Linked DNA regions of Stegostoma tigrinum. The protein of the gene in region 1 interacts with the protein of each later gene in a pairwise test. Links are inferred from orthologs where the notes say so. Each region holds a gene or a part of one and is shown on either strand. Other genes may lie near its edges.

Region 1 (7,839 bases):
TAACTCAAAGATCTGGTTCTAGTGGCCAGGAAGGAAGCACACAAAATACTTAAAGGAATGGTAACCCACTGAAACCCAGACACTTTTTGTTTCAATAATATACTTTATTCAAAAAATATTGTTATGCACATACATAATCACTGAAGCAGTTTGGTTCACATGAAGAAACAAACAAACATTGGAGTTTGACTCTATCCAACAAACAACCCAAAGGCACGTCATACTTGTACAAGACTATATTTATATATACTTGAGGCATCTGGAGGGTCCTACAACCATATGGACCCCCACTTAACTTTAACAGAAATCCTTTAGACAATGGTGATTCCCCATGGCACATTGGCGGTAGCTGCCCAAAGCTTTTGTGCATCCATCAGCACACAGTCGGAGACCTTGGAACGTATAGTCTGCAACACTCGCTCAGGGTCAACTCCTTGCTCTGGAAGGGCTAGCAAGTCTCAAGCAGATGAAAGAGCATCTTTCACCAAATCGATAGTCTTCCAGGTGCAATCGTTGTTTATCTCTGTGCGTCCCAGGGAGCAGACTGTAGAACACAGAGTCCTTCATCATAGAGCTGCTCAGGATGAACCTTGACAAAAACTACTGCATGTTTCTCCAGATTTCCTTTGTAAAAACATGTTCCAGAAGGAGATATCTGACAGTCTCTACCCCCAACCCAACACCCGGCAGCCAGTTTGAGGGCAGCGTGTGGTGGTGCAGAGTCTGGGCATACATGAAGGATCTCACAGGCAGTGCCCTTCTCAGTGGCCAGGTGATATCTTGGTGCTTGTCAGAAAGTTCTAGCCATGTCAGTCATTTGGCAGAATGCTTCAATCTGTTCAGGGAACAACTTAACAGAATCCCAGACTACTAATCCAGAGACACAAGTTCAAATCCCATCACTGCAAATCAGAATTGAATTCATTCAAATTCTGGAATAACAAGATTATCTCAGTTGTGATGATCAGGAAACTATGGGACTGTTGTTAAAAAATAAAAGAGGTTCCCTAATGTCCTTTAAGGAAGGAAACCAGCTGCCTTTACCTGGTGTGGCCTATTTATTTCCAAAATATCTATGCTCCTCAAATTCGGCCACAAGTATCCCTAACTTTAAAATCACTAGATGGTTGATGATCACACCTTCCAGTTTCCAAGACTCCAGGTTTTGGATTTCCCTCCTTAAACCTCTTTAACTTGCCACCTGATTTGTCTCCTTCTGTATATAACATGTTAAGAAATGTCCTAAAATTTCTCTCTCTGGGAAATATTTTCTCATGTGGCTCAGAATATTTTGTTCTAAAAATGCTGTGAAATTCTTTGGAATGCCTTGTTATGTCAAAAGCACTATACAAGTACAAACATAAAGTGCTGGATAACCCCAGGTCTGGCAGCATATATGGCTGTTAATTTACATTTGAGAAGATAACTTAAGGAAATAAACAATTAATGTTGGCCTTGCCAGCAATTCTGACATTCTGAATGAATTTTAAAAACGTAAGTATCTCAAAAGACAATTCAGTGCTGAATGATCGTGAAGACACTCTTCAATCACAATTCTACATCACAAAGTTCAAAAAGTACTTTCTTGGCTGCAAAGTACTTTCAGTACCTTCAGGGTGGTGAAAAGTGCTGCATAAATGCAAGTCTTTCTTTCTGGCTCCCAGGATAAGCAAACTGAACTAAAGAACTCTGCCAATGATGCAGCACTGTTCAGAGTCTTAGGCTATACTATCACAAGGAACATCTACTGTGGTGACTGGATGTCAAAGACTTTTGTTTTGCAACACAGCTTTTAAAAGCAAACGTTGGAAGATCTATAGACTCACCAGCCAACACAACGTGAGGTGGAAGGGTGGGTAAAACAAATCATTCTTATCACTAAATACAACAGTCAACAAACTTTATGCAATTCCACTACACATAGCAACTAGAAAAATAACTTGTGATGCTATGGCATCTTTCAGAATAACTAAATGCTTCACAGCCAACGTGATACCATTTAGAAGTGTAGTCATTGTTGTGAATCATGGCAGCCAAAAGCACACTGCAAGCTCTTACAAACAAAGTGATAATATCTAGATCATTTGCTTTAGGTGTTGGTGAAGGGATAAATATTGACTCAGCGCACCAGGGAACACTCCCCTGCTCGAGTAAATTGGTGGAATGGGATCTTTTACACCCGCTGAGGACATCTTGGCTCTACTTCTCAATGTCACATGTGAAAGGTGTTACCTCTAATATCACAACACTCCCTCTGTATGGCATTGGTAACATAATCTTTCATATTATATACGCAGATCTCTAGATTTGGCATTGCACCCAAAAACTTACCTCAGAAGTGAAAAGAACTATACACCGGCTCTCAATTGGTACCTCAGAATATGCACAGAAGGAAGATGCCATCCTCCATCCCTGGTCTGAGATTAGGGAGAAACTGACCTCAGCATCACTGAATTAAAATAGGTGGGAGAAGGGGGAAGGCAGAAATCACTTCTTTTCATTGGTTGTTCTGGAAAGTCAATACTTGAACGCACACGTCTGGTCAGGAACATGATCAGGCTTATAATACACTGCCCTACATAGCCAAATATCTAACAAACATTCATTATCCAATCTCGCTCATCAAAAATGGGCAACTTACATCCCCTCAAACAGCAAACGCCTAGTGTCCTTATTTTTAAACTAAAAACACAGATGTAGAAATAAGTGAATCAAGTATAAATTTGGACTTAGCAATAACGTACAGGAGGAAAAAATCTGAATGGCCTACCAGCTGAGAATTCAAATTCGGGGGGGGGGGGGGGGGACAGAAAAGAATAACAAAAAGAAACACTGATGCTGAAAATGGACTCTTTTAAAGCTTTTTTTAAAAAAAGTGCCTACTCACCCTGTAGTGCTAAACAGCCTGTGGATCATGCAACAGGGAGCCAGGTTTAAATTGATGAATATTCAGCTCCCAGGCCCTGCCTGAGTCAGACATGTCCTCCTGACACAGACCCCACACCCCTCAACAACGCGCTCCTTCATTGGTGTCCTCCCCACCACTGGCTCCGTTACCCTTGGCAACGGCCTTGAGGCGGCTGGCTGCCATCTCTGTGAGGGGCAGAAGCAGCATTTATGTATTGTAAATATGTCATTTATCGGTGCACAGAGCCGGGGATTTATGCAGATTTTAAGTTATTTTAATTTGTACAATACGCTGGCGAAACGGTGATGCCTACAATTCGGTTTTGTTCTTAAAACGATGCAATTATCTGAAGGCGTCCATGTCTGAGCGGGGCATATGGAGTGGCCCTGTGAGTTTTTTTTGTGAATGATTATTTTGATTGCTCAAGCAAAGTTCTTGAGTTGTTTCCTGATGGAGGGTGATTGAGCTCGAAGCGTTAGCTCTGTTTCTGTATCCCTAGATGCTGCTTGTCTGACCTGCAGTGCTCCTCCAGCCACACATTTTTTCAACTACTGCCAGACCTGCTGAGTTTTAACAGCCTTTTTGGCTTTGTGTACACAGATCTGCCCAGTCTCAGTAATTTAAAATGAAACAAGCCACTTCACTGCTTGCTTCCATTATTCAGTTGCGTATGCAGCAGAACATCCCTGCATGCTCCATGACCACCATCATCCTCAGCCCCTTTGCCCATACAAGTTGACATCACTAACCCACCAGCCACTCCATATCTTCCAGCTGAAGTTAAGTGGGAGTCTGTTCAGTTATCAGACCCTTCTGGTGCCTAAATGCATGTAAATGTAGTATTATGTATGTTACCGAGGTCTTGGGTGGTTTGCATAGTCAAACTCCAATGTTTGTTTGTTCCCTTGATATGCTACTGTACAGAACCGAATTGTATTTATGCAAAAAATTTTTAATGAACAAAGTATAGTTCTGAAATGAAAAAGAAACAGCCATTCCATGTACAAGTGTCTATTAGCTTCTAGAAACCCTCATATCTTGTATTGAAATGTACATAGTTTCTGGTCATATTTGATAAATGTTTTCCAATTTTTAGTTGTTTTGAGACAACGAAGAGTGCAAAGTTCTTGACTGAGAAATGTGATATTTTCATTGTATTTTCTGTAATATTGGCTTGAACTGTTTTGTAATTTACTTATAAATAATTTATGAATAAAGAATATATTTTCATGTAAACAAGAACACCAGCCACACCACCTATTCATGGCTGCTTACGGAACAACTCTCTTATTACATCAACACTTGCCTTTGGAGCTAAGGCAAAACTACAACTTCTGTGCTTCTGCCAGACCGCTTTGTGCACCTGGAAACACACGCATCTGCACTCAATGCATCTTAAGGCTCTTTGCTTGCTTTTTTAGTGTTCACTCACTTTGTGCTTACTTAGGCGCTGCTAGACTTTGTGGCTTCATTGCTGTTTAGCACAGAGGCAGAGGCAAGAAGCTTGTCAAAATAGGGAGCATTTGACAGTTAGCTACGTCAGCAACACACCTCCAGCATTTGGCAACAGTCTATGCGGCAAACACACTGCATGTGCTTCAAGCAAATGGGTGAGCCAACCCTATTACATTCTTTTCAACTGTCTGGATCATTATCACTGAACTGTGTCATCTGCTGGAACAGGACTTGGTGGAAATCCTGTCACAAATCCTGTCAGCAAGTTCATAGCTGCCTTGAATTTTTATTCCAGTAGCTCGTTTCAAGAAGCAACTGGGGATTAATGTGGTATCTTCCAATCCTCAATCCATGATACATCCAGGATATAACTGATGCTATTTTCTTCAGATCACAGTTGTTTGTGTCCTTCCCCAATGACTAGAAAAGTCAAACACCCTGGGTAGTGGGATTCTTTAGCATCACTGACTTGCCCCAGATGGCCCCTTTGCTTTGAGAGCATAATCGCACCAACTGGCAAGGTTCATCAACAGAAAAGGTTTCCACTCTTTAAATGCTCAAATTATACGTCGCCATCAACACTGAATCTGGGAGGTCCAAGCCAGATATTCTGGGAATGCTGTGACTCAAATGCACAGAGAATTCAGAAGTTTCTGCTTCCTTTGAATGTCCTTTAACCTTACAGTGGTAATTAACACAGAACATAGGACATTACAGCACATTACAGGCCCTTCGGCCCTCGATGTTGTGCTGACCTGTCATACCAATCTCAAGCCCATCTAAACTACACTATTCCATGTACGTCCATATGCTTATCCAATGACGACTTAAATGTACCTAAAGTTGGTGAATCTACTACCGTTGCAGGCAAAGCGTTCCATACCCTTACTACTCTCTGAGTAAAGAAACCACCTCTGACATCTGTCCTATATCTTTCACCCCTCAATTTAAAGCTATGCCCCCTCGTGCTCGCCGTCACCATCCTAGGAAAAGGGCTCTCCCTATCCACCCTATCTAACCCTCTGATTATCTTATATGTCTCAATTAAGTCACCTCTCAACCTTCTTAATGAAAACAGCCTCAAGTCTCTCAGCCTTTCCTCGTAAGACCTTCCCTCCATACCAGGCAATAATTGTTGGGAGACAAGGGTTTCCCCTCCAAACATGGCTCATGACACCTTTACACAACCCTGAGACTGATGCAGACAGTGCTGCTGACATCTCACCAGCAGCAGACTGTAGTTTCCTTGAAATGCAATCTTGCTGCTTGGACTGTCTGTTGGCTTTTCAGTATAGTCTTGAAGGTGTCTTGCGTCATTGTGGCATACTGGAGCCGAAAAACACAGGAATGTCCATGATGCAGAGGAAATAAGAGATCAACAGCAATCTTTTGAAGAGGAAGATGAGGATGTGGTTCTGGACATTTATAAGGAGACCCACCTCAGTCAGCAAGACAGAGCAGTGCATCTCTGAGTGTGTGAACCCAGGACGAATAAGCAGGGTTTGATGATTCCCATTAATCTGGGAAACAACCCCTGCCTAACGCAAAGGATGTGTGGATCCTGTTGCAATCCTTGAGCTTTTCTTGTGCTCGCTAAATGTCTTATTTTCATTCTGATTGTATACTTGCTCTCTTCAGGTGAAGCCACTTTCAAGTATCAAGTCACATTACATGTTGTATTGACTGTTAGGGAAAAGACAGAGAGTAACATCACATGGCACTAAAGTTAGGTGGCTCTTAAGTCAGCATATCATATCTGCACAGTGAATTCTGTCATTATATAATGGGAGGAACTCTGAGAAATTTTCTTCTGACCTTTCTGTCCTCAAGTAATCCTTCAATGTTCAACGTACATCCAGATTGAAAAGTTGACCTGAAGTGCTTGAGCATCTTGTAGGACAACTTTGAATTATGAGAAGAAATTTTTTTTTTCTGCCAAAGAAAGTGCATGGTATAATGAGGAAGATTGAACATGTGAAATGAACACTATACACCTCTCAGCTTTGAATGGCTGCATGCCCCCTTGAAAACCTGATGAAGACAAAAGGGCTTTCCCTACAGAGATGACTGAGATGTGTGGAAACATCACTGATTCTTTATTCTCACTCATGACGAGGTGCAAGAGTGAAATAGTTTTGCAGGCCAGACCCTAGTACAGTCTCTGCATACTGCGCTCATCCTCAGTGTTGTCTACATCGAAGTACACCAGGGCTGCAGTTATTAGTGCCACAATTCAAGGATCTGAGGCATCTGAATATTTCTGTAGTCAAGGAGTCAACTGCTTGTGACAGACGAATAATGTTTAGCCATCATACCTTTCTAGATGGATTAGCCGTGGAAAATGCAGGATTACAGGGATCGGGTACGGGGTGGGTCTGGGTGGGCTGCTCTTTGGAAGGTCAATGTGGATTGATGGGCCAGATGGCATGATTCCGCACTGTAGAGATTCTATGTCCGAACAGGCTTCTCAGACTTCACAGCTTACATGTAGTTTTTATGTTTGTTAGATGAGCTGATAATTAGAGTGAAGGTCATGTAAAAACAGAGATTCTCAGCAAGCTGCATGGGTTCTTGCATTGAATTGTCAGGAGCCCAGATCTCAGATGATTTTGAAGCAGGAACAGAAATTGCTGAAGAAAATCACAGGTCTGGCAGTATCTTTTGACCCAGTTCTGAAGCAGGGTCATTGGACTCAAAATGTTGACTCTGCTTTGTCTTCACACCTCTTGGGTTTCTCCAGCAATTTGTTTCAGATCTTCAGCATCTACAGTTCTTCATTTTATCTCAGATTAACTTAAAATCAGAACAGGTTGGGAGATAGTCCTTCTCTCACTTTCAATATATAACTGTTCATTACCTTGTTTGTAAAGTTATTTGTCTATCAGGTGCTTATTCTTATTCAGAACAGCTTCTGCTGTTATTTTTAAACGCAAATAACAAACATGGCCGTCTCATCTATTTCACTTGTTACAAGTCCAAACGCATTTTTTCTGAAGAAGGGTCCAGATCTGAAACATCAGCCTTCCTGCTCCTCTGATGCTGCCTGACCTGCTGTGTTCATCCAGATCTACACCTTGTTATCTTATTTTTGAATATGGTGGTATGTTAGCCTAAAATACATTCTGTTGTTTCAGACTTTGAGACATCCCAGGTCTTTGTGTTGGAATGAGTTCCATCGTAATACAATGAACCCTTCCGATTCTTACACCCATCCAGATGTCTTTTAAATGTTGTAATTGTACCGGCATCCACCACTTCCTCTGGCAGCTCATTCCAAACACGCACCTACCTCTGTGTGAAAAAGTTGCCCTTTAGGTCCCTTTTATATATTTCCCCTGTCACCTTAAACCTATGCTGTCCAGTTTTGGACTCACCCACCCCAAGGAAAAGACTTTGTCTATGTACCCTATCCATGCCCCTCATTATTTTATACGCCTCTACAAGGTCACCCCTTAGCCCGTCATGCTCCAAGGAAA
Region 2 (7,395 bases), on another chromosome or scaffold:
CACACTTGGTTCAACTCTGGCTTAGGCTTTGAGTTATTAACAAGCAGCAAAGTTGATGGCACTAGAGGTTCAAGTGGGTGAGATCCATTACAGAATGATTGAATTAGACAGCAGAGCAATATGCAAATGCTTTTAAATATATTTGCTGCTATTGTGTGATTTACCACTAATTTTAAAGCCATCAGCTTTAAAAAACACATCCTGGGATTTATGACTTAGAGACAAGTAAGGACTGCAGATGCTGGAAGCCAGAATCAATATATGAGAAGCTGGAAAAGCACGGGTCAGACAGCATCGGAGAAGCAAGAAAGTCAATGTTTCTGACGAAACGCTGACATTCCTGCTCCTCAGATGCTGTCTGACCTGCTGTGCTTTTCCAGCTTCACATCTATTGACTTGGGATTTATATTGTCTTTAACATAATGAAATGGCCCAAGGTGCTTAACAGGAACATTACAAAACGACATGAGTGATATCACGTAGAGATATTAAGGAACACAACCAAAACCTTGGTTAAAAAGGTACATTTCAAGTAATATCTCAAGGTTGGAAAGAGGCACCAGGAGAGAATTTTGGAACATGTGGCCCATGTAACAAAGGGCAAGGTTACCAAGAGAGGAGTAATTAAAATAGGGATTGAAAACTGAAAGAACTGTGGGATGCTTTAAATCAGAAACAAAAATAGAAATTGCTGGAAAAACTCAGCGGGTCTGGAAGCATCTGTGGACAGAATCAGAGTTAATGGTTCATGTCGATTGTCCTTTCCTGAAGCTGTGTAATTCAAAGGACTGACTTCTGCAGGGCCCGAGCATCTCTGGTTTGTTGTATTGATTAAAGGCAAGATTAGTTGTGAAAACTAGAGCAGAATAGAGAGATAGGAAAGGGAAGAACATGGAAAAATTTGAAAGTGACAATGAGATACAACTTAACCAAAAACCAATGTGGACCAGTGAACACATTGGGACAGTGGGTGAATGGGACTTAATACAATGGGCATAAGGCAAAGGTGCCAAAGTTTTGGGCAATCTCAAATTTACAAAAATTGAATGTGAATGGCAAGCCAAGAGTGAATGACACACTATAACTCCTATTGAGAGGATTCACCATTCTACCAGAACATGCTGTGAAGTAACAGCATAAATCACTCCAGTTCAATTTGCATTATTCTGTTAAATCTTAAAATTTTGACAGCATAGCTGTTTATTTTAATTGATATAAAAAGCTAGACTTTACTATATTATAACTACCCTTCCAATCTAACAATTCAGAAGATGCTTTAAACTACAATGCCTCAATATCTTTGTGCACATTATTTGTTAGTCTCAGAGCACAGAAACAGTCCCCTTGGTTCAACTTGTCTGCACCAACCAGGCATCCCAATCTGACCTAGTCCCGCTTGCCAGCATTTGGCCCACATCCCTTGAAACCCAATCCTATGCATATACAGTATATTCATACACCCCATCCAGATGCCTTTTAAATGTTGCAATTGTACCCGCCTCCACCACTTCCTCTGACAGCTCGTTCCATACACGCACCACCCTTTGCGTGAAAAAGTTACCCCTCAGGTCCTTTTTAAAATCTTCTCCTCTCACCTTAAACCTCTGGTTTTGGGCACCCTCATCCAAGGGGAAAACAGCTTGGCCATTCACCGCATCCACGTCCCTCATGATTTTAAAAGCCTCTTTAAGGTCAGCCCTGACCTCCCCTCCCCTTCCCTTCCCTTCCTCAGTCCTGAAGCACGCATTTTATCTAATCTGCAGCGCACTCTCGGCTCTTACTTAATCTCATTCATGTAGTTTACTGCATACGCAGTGTGCAAAACTGTGTTTTAATTAATGTACTGAGCCTGACTGCGAAATAATACAACACAGGGCTCAGACTGCGTCCGTTTAATATTTAGGTAAAATATATCAACTACATGAACCGTTATATTACGTGAACTGCATGCTGTCCCATTCTGACTCTAGGCATGTCATGGTTACCATCAGATGTTCACAAGCCAGCTGTTATTTGATCATCGGAAAGCCATAAATTTAAAAAAAACCAAAGTTGAAAATGCAGGTGGCACATTTAAAAAGAAGCCAGTGAGAAAGGGTTCCCTCCACCCACAATGGGTCTAAGCTACCTGAGCTGAAAATGGCGGGAGGGAGGCATGAGGAAATCGTGTCTGTCTTCCCCCTTATCGCCTTCTTAGATTTTAAACAGTTAAATTAGATGCAATTTTAATTTTAAGACCACGAAGCCAACGCCCAGCTTATTTTCCCCTTTCTGCCCACCCGCCCATCCACACTTGTCTCAGTGAACAATAGCTGACCAGCAGCGTGGGGGCGAAATGAAAATACAGAACGCAGCCTCGCTGTGCAAACAGCTGAACAAAAACAAGCCCTGCGTTTAGCAATAAAAATTTGTGAATGAGAGTGAAGGTGGAGGGTGTGCAGTTACTCACTCACCATTTGCCGAGCTACTTCAGCCGCCGCCATTGTCGATCCGCTGGTGACAAGAAGCTCGCGGACCCCAGCCACAGGCACTGGATACATGTTGGCCGCTACCACTGCGCTCAAAGGGGGGGGTGGGGAATGAGGGCAGCTACAGCCTGACTCTGTCCACCACAAACACGGTTTGTTCGCTTGTTTACTCGCTGTCAGCACGCCACACACCTTACAATCCCGATTTGCTTTTTAGCCACCAGTTGCCTTCCCCAGTATCGTCAAAATTTTACCAGCTTGTCGACAGTATCCCCTGTTTCGAGAATGATAGCGTCCCCCGTTAGACACATTGTTGCAAGAATAGCGGAAGCGTGAAGTATCATTTTTTGCTCTGATTTGACGAAATGTTATTTTCTCGGTTTAAAGAGATTGAGTGTAGTTCCTTCATAAACAACCCCCACTTGCAGCTTTATTTAAACACTTATTCAAGTGCCTTAAAATGGTTATTTCCCAATGCTTTAAACTTCTAAAAACTACGGTATTTATACATTATAAGTCGCAAATTTCAAATTGAAAAAAATTTGCGAGGAAGCGATTCGCTTGGCGCATTTTTCTTAACAATGCGTTTCTTTTTAAGAATTGCTGTGCAAATTATGCTGTTGATGTAGAGCAGGTGCGGAAAAGCCAGTATTTTTGCTGTCGTAAAGGCGGCGTCATTGTTACCTCAGTGCGTTACAAGTTTTTTTTAAAAAGTCAGTTGTCTTCTCCTCCCACAAAACTCAGTGGGTGATATATGCACAGGGCAATACAGCGACTAGCACCTACGTTTAACTTCAAAGATACCTAATCTTTAATGTCTAAGTGAATTGACGCACGCTAAAGATTTAGACGCGACTTCATTTACCTCCTACTGTAAGCAGTGACTAATCCAATATGTCACCGGGTGATTCACCCTTCCACTGGACACAATAAGGCGCGTATTTTATTACCTTTTTATAGAAATGCGTCTCTTTTATTTAAATATGAACAATCTTAATTTAATTTCTTACCAGAGAAGAAGGGGTGATTGAAGATAGAACAACAGTTTGCAAGGCTGGTTGAATCAAGGGCACTTTTTGAGTGGAAAATGGCAGAATTTGAGAGAGACAGCAAAAAGAGATACGCATTCACAATATTATTTGACAAGGCGACTAGGAGGGGATGATGGTGACCCCCAGTTTGATAAGAATGGCATTGAAGGAACACGGGATGGATCTGATGAAAAAGGTGACCTTACAGAGGGCTGGAAGAAAAACTCAAGAAGATGTGAGTTCTAGACCAGAACAATGAGAAAGTTTGGCCAACTAAATTCTGGCAAGTGAGTCTACATAGTTTAGGATATCTGGTCGCAACAGATGAGTTGGACCCAAGGGTCTGTTTCCGTTCTGTATAAGCCATGATTCTATGAATCTATGAGTTGGGCAATTGAAAGCAATGCTGTAACAGAGACATGTTATAAGATGGTCTTAGTCTCAAGAGTTTACCTTGCACACTGGGATTATCCTGAAACAGTGAGCAGATTTAGCAGATGACAACAGAACTTGATACTGCTTTCTGTGGTCTAACAGATCTGGCAGTGGGTAGCTAAATAATTTTCCACTATATCTTTATAAGGCTTTTCCCCATGGGCTTGAGGAATGGAGATTAGGGCCATATGAAACACAGAAGTGCCAGTTTGAGAGCGAGCACTGGTTTTATTGGGCATTAAGTATGGAGGTGAGGGTGAAGTTTAGCTATTCAGGTGACAGCAGAAATATTGTAGTGAATGGAGGAACCAGGGACTAGGCAATTATGTAGCATGTAGACAATCCTATCCAGGTTGTTTCACCACCACTGCATATCGCAAAGCATTTGAAATAACAAGGTGTAGAGCTGGATGAACACAGCAAGCCAAGCAGCATCAGAGGAGCAGGAAAGCTGACATTTCGGGCCTAGACCCTGCTTCAGAAATCTTTCTGAAGCAGGGTCTAGGCCCGGGACCTTAGCTTGCCTGCTGCGTTCATACTTTCTGGTGATGTCATCATTGTATTGTAGGAAAGACAGCAGCTAATGTGCACACAAAAAGCTCCCTTAAACAGCACTGTGATAAAGGACCAGATTTTTATTCTGATACTGATGAACAGATGAATATGGGCACAAGGGATAACTCCACTGGCACTTCCTCAAACAGTACAGTTTGATCTTTTATATCCAGCTGAAAGGATAGATAGGATTAACATCTCATCTGAATGATGGCACCTCTCGTAATGCAGTATTCCTTTGGAGCCTTGAAGTTTAAGCTCCAATCCTGGAGTGGGATTTGAGCCCACACCCTTATGACTCTCACTGAGAGCGCTACCAACTAGCACTACCACAGCCATACATCAGCATATGTCCTGATGGCGGGTTCTGGGCAGGAGGCCAATGCAAAAGGCAGCAAGGCTTCATACTCTGAAGCACAGCATGCACAGACTCAGTGAAAAGGACTGTAATTTGAGCACATTTTAAAGATAATTTCATTCTTATTCCGGACTTTGAGTAATTTGAGTACTTTTTATACTTCGTATTCCTATGCTAGACTTTTTTAAAAACTCTTTCAATTCTGTAACAAACACTTAAGAGTCTGTACCTAAGATGGCACCAGAGTGACAACATTACAAATTTTTCACTGCATTCATCCAAATGCTTGTGACAATAAAGGCTATACTATTCCATTCTAAGTCAGCATCTTCAGCAACAATGAGAAAATGTAGCTGCTGGGGGATGTAACAGTTCAACCAAATTGCTGCTGTTATATTGTGATACAGCAGCTTCAGGCTTGGATTATTGTGGAAATGCCATTAAGGAATTGGAGACCAAATGAAGGCAAGCAATTTGTGCCTGACCTCACAGCAACTTATCTGTACAAAATAAATAGGGTTTATTGACTGTGTACCAGGTTAAGAGTGAGTGTGGGGCAGATAGTTTCAATATAACTGTTGCCTAATTTCTAATTAGTTTCAGTGTTCCCACTCAATACAATTTGCTTTATATACACCAATACCCAGAACTAGAACTAACCGATATCAATTGACTGTGTAATTTACTTTCAAGTTCTAAGATCACCAATGTTTGCCTCATCAATTATTCTCTGCTATTCCAAATAGATGGACATGGGATCATTTATTTGATCTTTGAGTATTTGAAGTCATTTCATAACATAGTCTGTGCTATAAAGTGTCTACAAATATTGGGTAAGGTAATAACAATTATGCTGCCTTTCATTGACAAATACCATGATGAAGTCCAGGGCTGGCACCTGTATGGTAGCAAATGAAAATAATCCTTTCAGAAAGTGGGGAGAAAGTTGGCAGTGAAAAAAAAAGGTTAAAGGTTTTAAATTTATGGCATTGATTTCAATTAAATGTCATAGAGTTTTCACAGCACGGAAGGAAGACTTTCAGCCCATGTTGATTTATGCTGGTCATCAAACAATCATCTACAATAATTCCATTTGTCAGCACTTGACCCATAATCTAGTAAGATATGGCATTTCAAGTGTTCATCTAAATAGCTCTTAAATATCTTAAAGCTTCCCACCTCTAGCACTTTTCAGGCAAACAACATGAAACAACTACTACGTTTGGGTGGAAAAACCTAAAATCCCCTCTAACCTCATGCCCCTTAACTTAAAACTGTGCTCCCTGGTTATTGACCCTTCTATGGAGGGAGAAATATTTCCCCTATATTCCCTACATTAAACAATCCATGCAGTTATCTAGTCACTTTACATGTTCCTGTCCAGGCAACATCCTCTTGTTCTTCTGCACCTTTTCTAGTGCAATTACATCCCTCTGATGGTTTGACACCCAGAGCTGTACACAGTACACCAGCTGTGGCCTAATTAATATTATATACAACCCCATCATAGCCTACATGCTCTTGTATTCAATGCCTTGACCAATGAAGGCAAGAATCCCATATGCCTTCTAATGATCATTCTTAATCTGTCCTGCTGACTTCAAGGATCCATGACATGCAAACCAAAGTCTCTTTGTTCAGCAACACCAGCCAGGACCCTATCATTAAGTCTATAACCTGGTTTGCCTTAGCAATATGCAACACCTCACAAAGAAGATTGATGAAGCCATAGCAGTGAACATTGTCGATATAGACGTCAAGGTTTCGCAGGGTAGACTAATTAGCAATGTCAGATTACATAGAATCCAGGGAGAGCTAGCTATCTGAAAACAAAATTGGCTTGAAGTTAAGAGACAAAGGGTAGAGGTGAAGAGTTTTTTGGACTGGAGGCCTGTGACCACTGGTGTGCTGCAAGGATCAGAACTGGGTACCCAACTTTTTGTCATTTATGTAAATGATATAAAGGAGATATGGTTAGTAAATTTGCAGATGACACCAACATTGGTAGATAAAGAAGAAGGTTACATCAAATTACAATGGGACATTGATCAGATGGGACAAGGGCTGAGGAATGGCAGATGGAGCTTAATTTAGGTAAATGTCAGGTGCTGCATTTTGGAAAGGTAAATCAGGGCAGGACTAATACACTTAATGATAAGGTCCTGGGGGGTGTTGCTGAACAAAGAGACCTTGAAGTGCAAGTTCCTTGAAAGTGGAGTTGCAGGTAGACAAGGGTGTGAAGAAAGCATTTTGTAGACTTGCCTTTATTAGTCAGTGCATGTTATGTTGCATTTGTATCGGACATTAGTTAGGGCACTTTTGGTCTACTGTATTCAATTCTGGGGTCACCCTGCTATAAGAAACATGTTGTCAAGCTTGAAAGGGTGCAGAAAAGATTTTCGAGGATGTTGCCAGAGTTGGAGGGTTTGAGCTGTAGCGAGAAGCTGAATAGATTGGGGCTATTTTCCCTGGAGTATCAGCGGTTGAGGCGTGACCCTATAGACAATTATAAAGTCATGAAGGACATGGATAGACTGAAGCCAAGGTC

The links.
Region 2: the proteins of morn4 (region 1) and septin6 interact in binary tests that used the Homo sapiens proteins (3 or more experiments, as listed by UniProt). The two-hybrid records come from large-scale screens. The link is inferred for Stegostoma tigrinum from reciprocal best matches to the Homo sapiens genes MORN4 and SEPTIN6.

Annotation. Positions count from the first base shown.
Region 1 is NC_081373.1:12,101,982-12,109,820, reverse strand, and holds the start of morn4 (MORN repeat-containing protein 4), read right to left. Parts: upstream 3,002-7,839; 5' UTR 2,888-3,001; intron 1-2,887. UniProt on the Homo sapiens protein: Plays a role in promoting axonal degeneration following neuronal injury by toxic insult or trauma.
Region 2 is NC_081368.1:16,026,895-16,034,289, forward strand, and holds the start of septin6 (septin-6), read right to left. Parts: upstream 3,049-7,395; 5' UTR 2,541-3,048; coding exon 2,454-2,540; intron 1-2,453. UniProt on the Homo sapiens protein: Filament-forming cytoskeletal GTPase. Required for normal organization of the actin cytoskeleton. Involved in cytokinesis. May play a role in HCV RNA replication.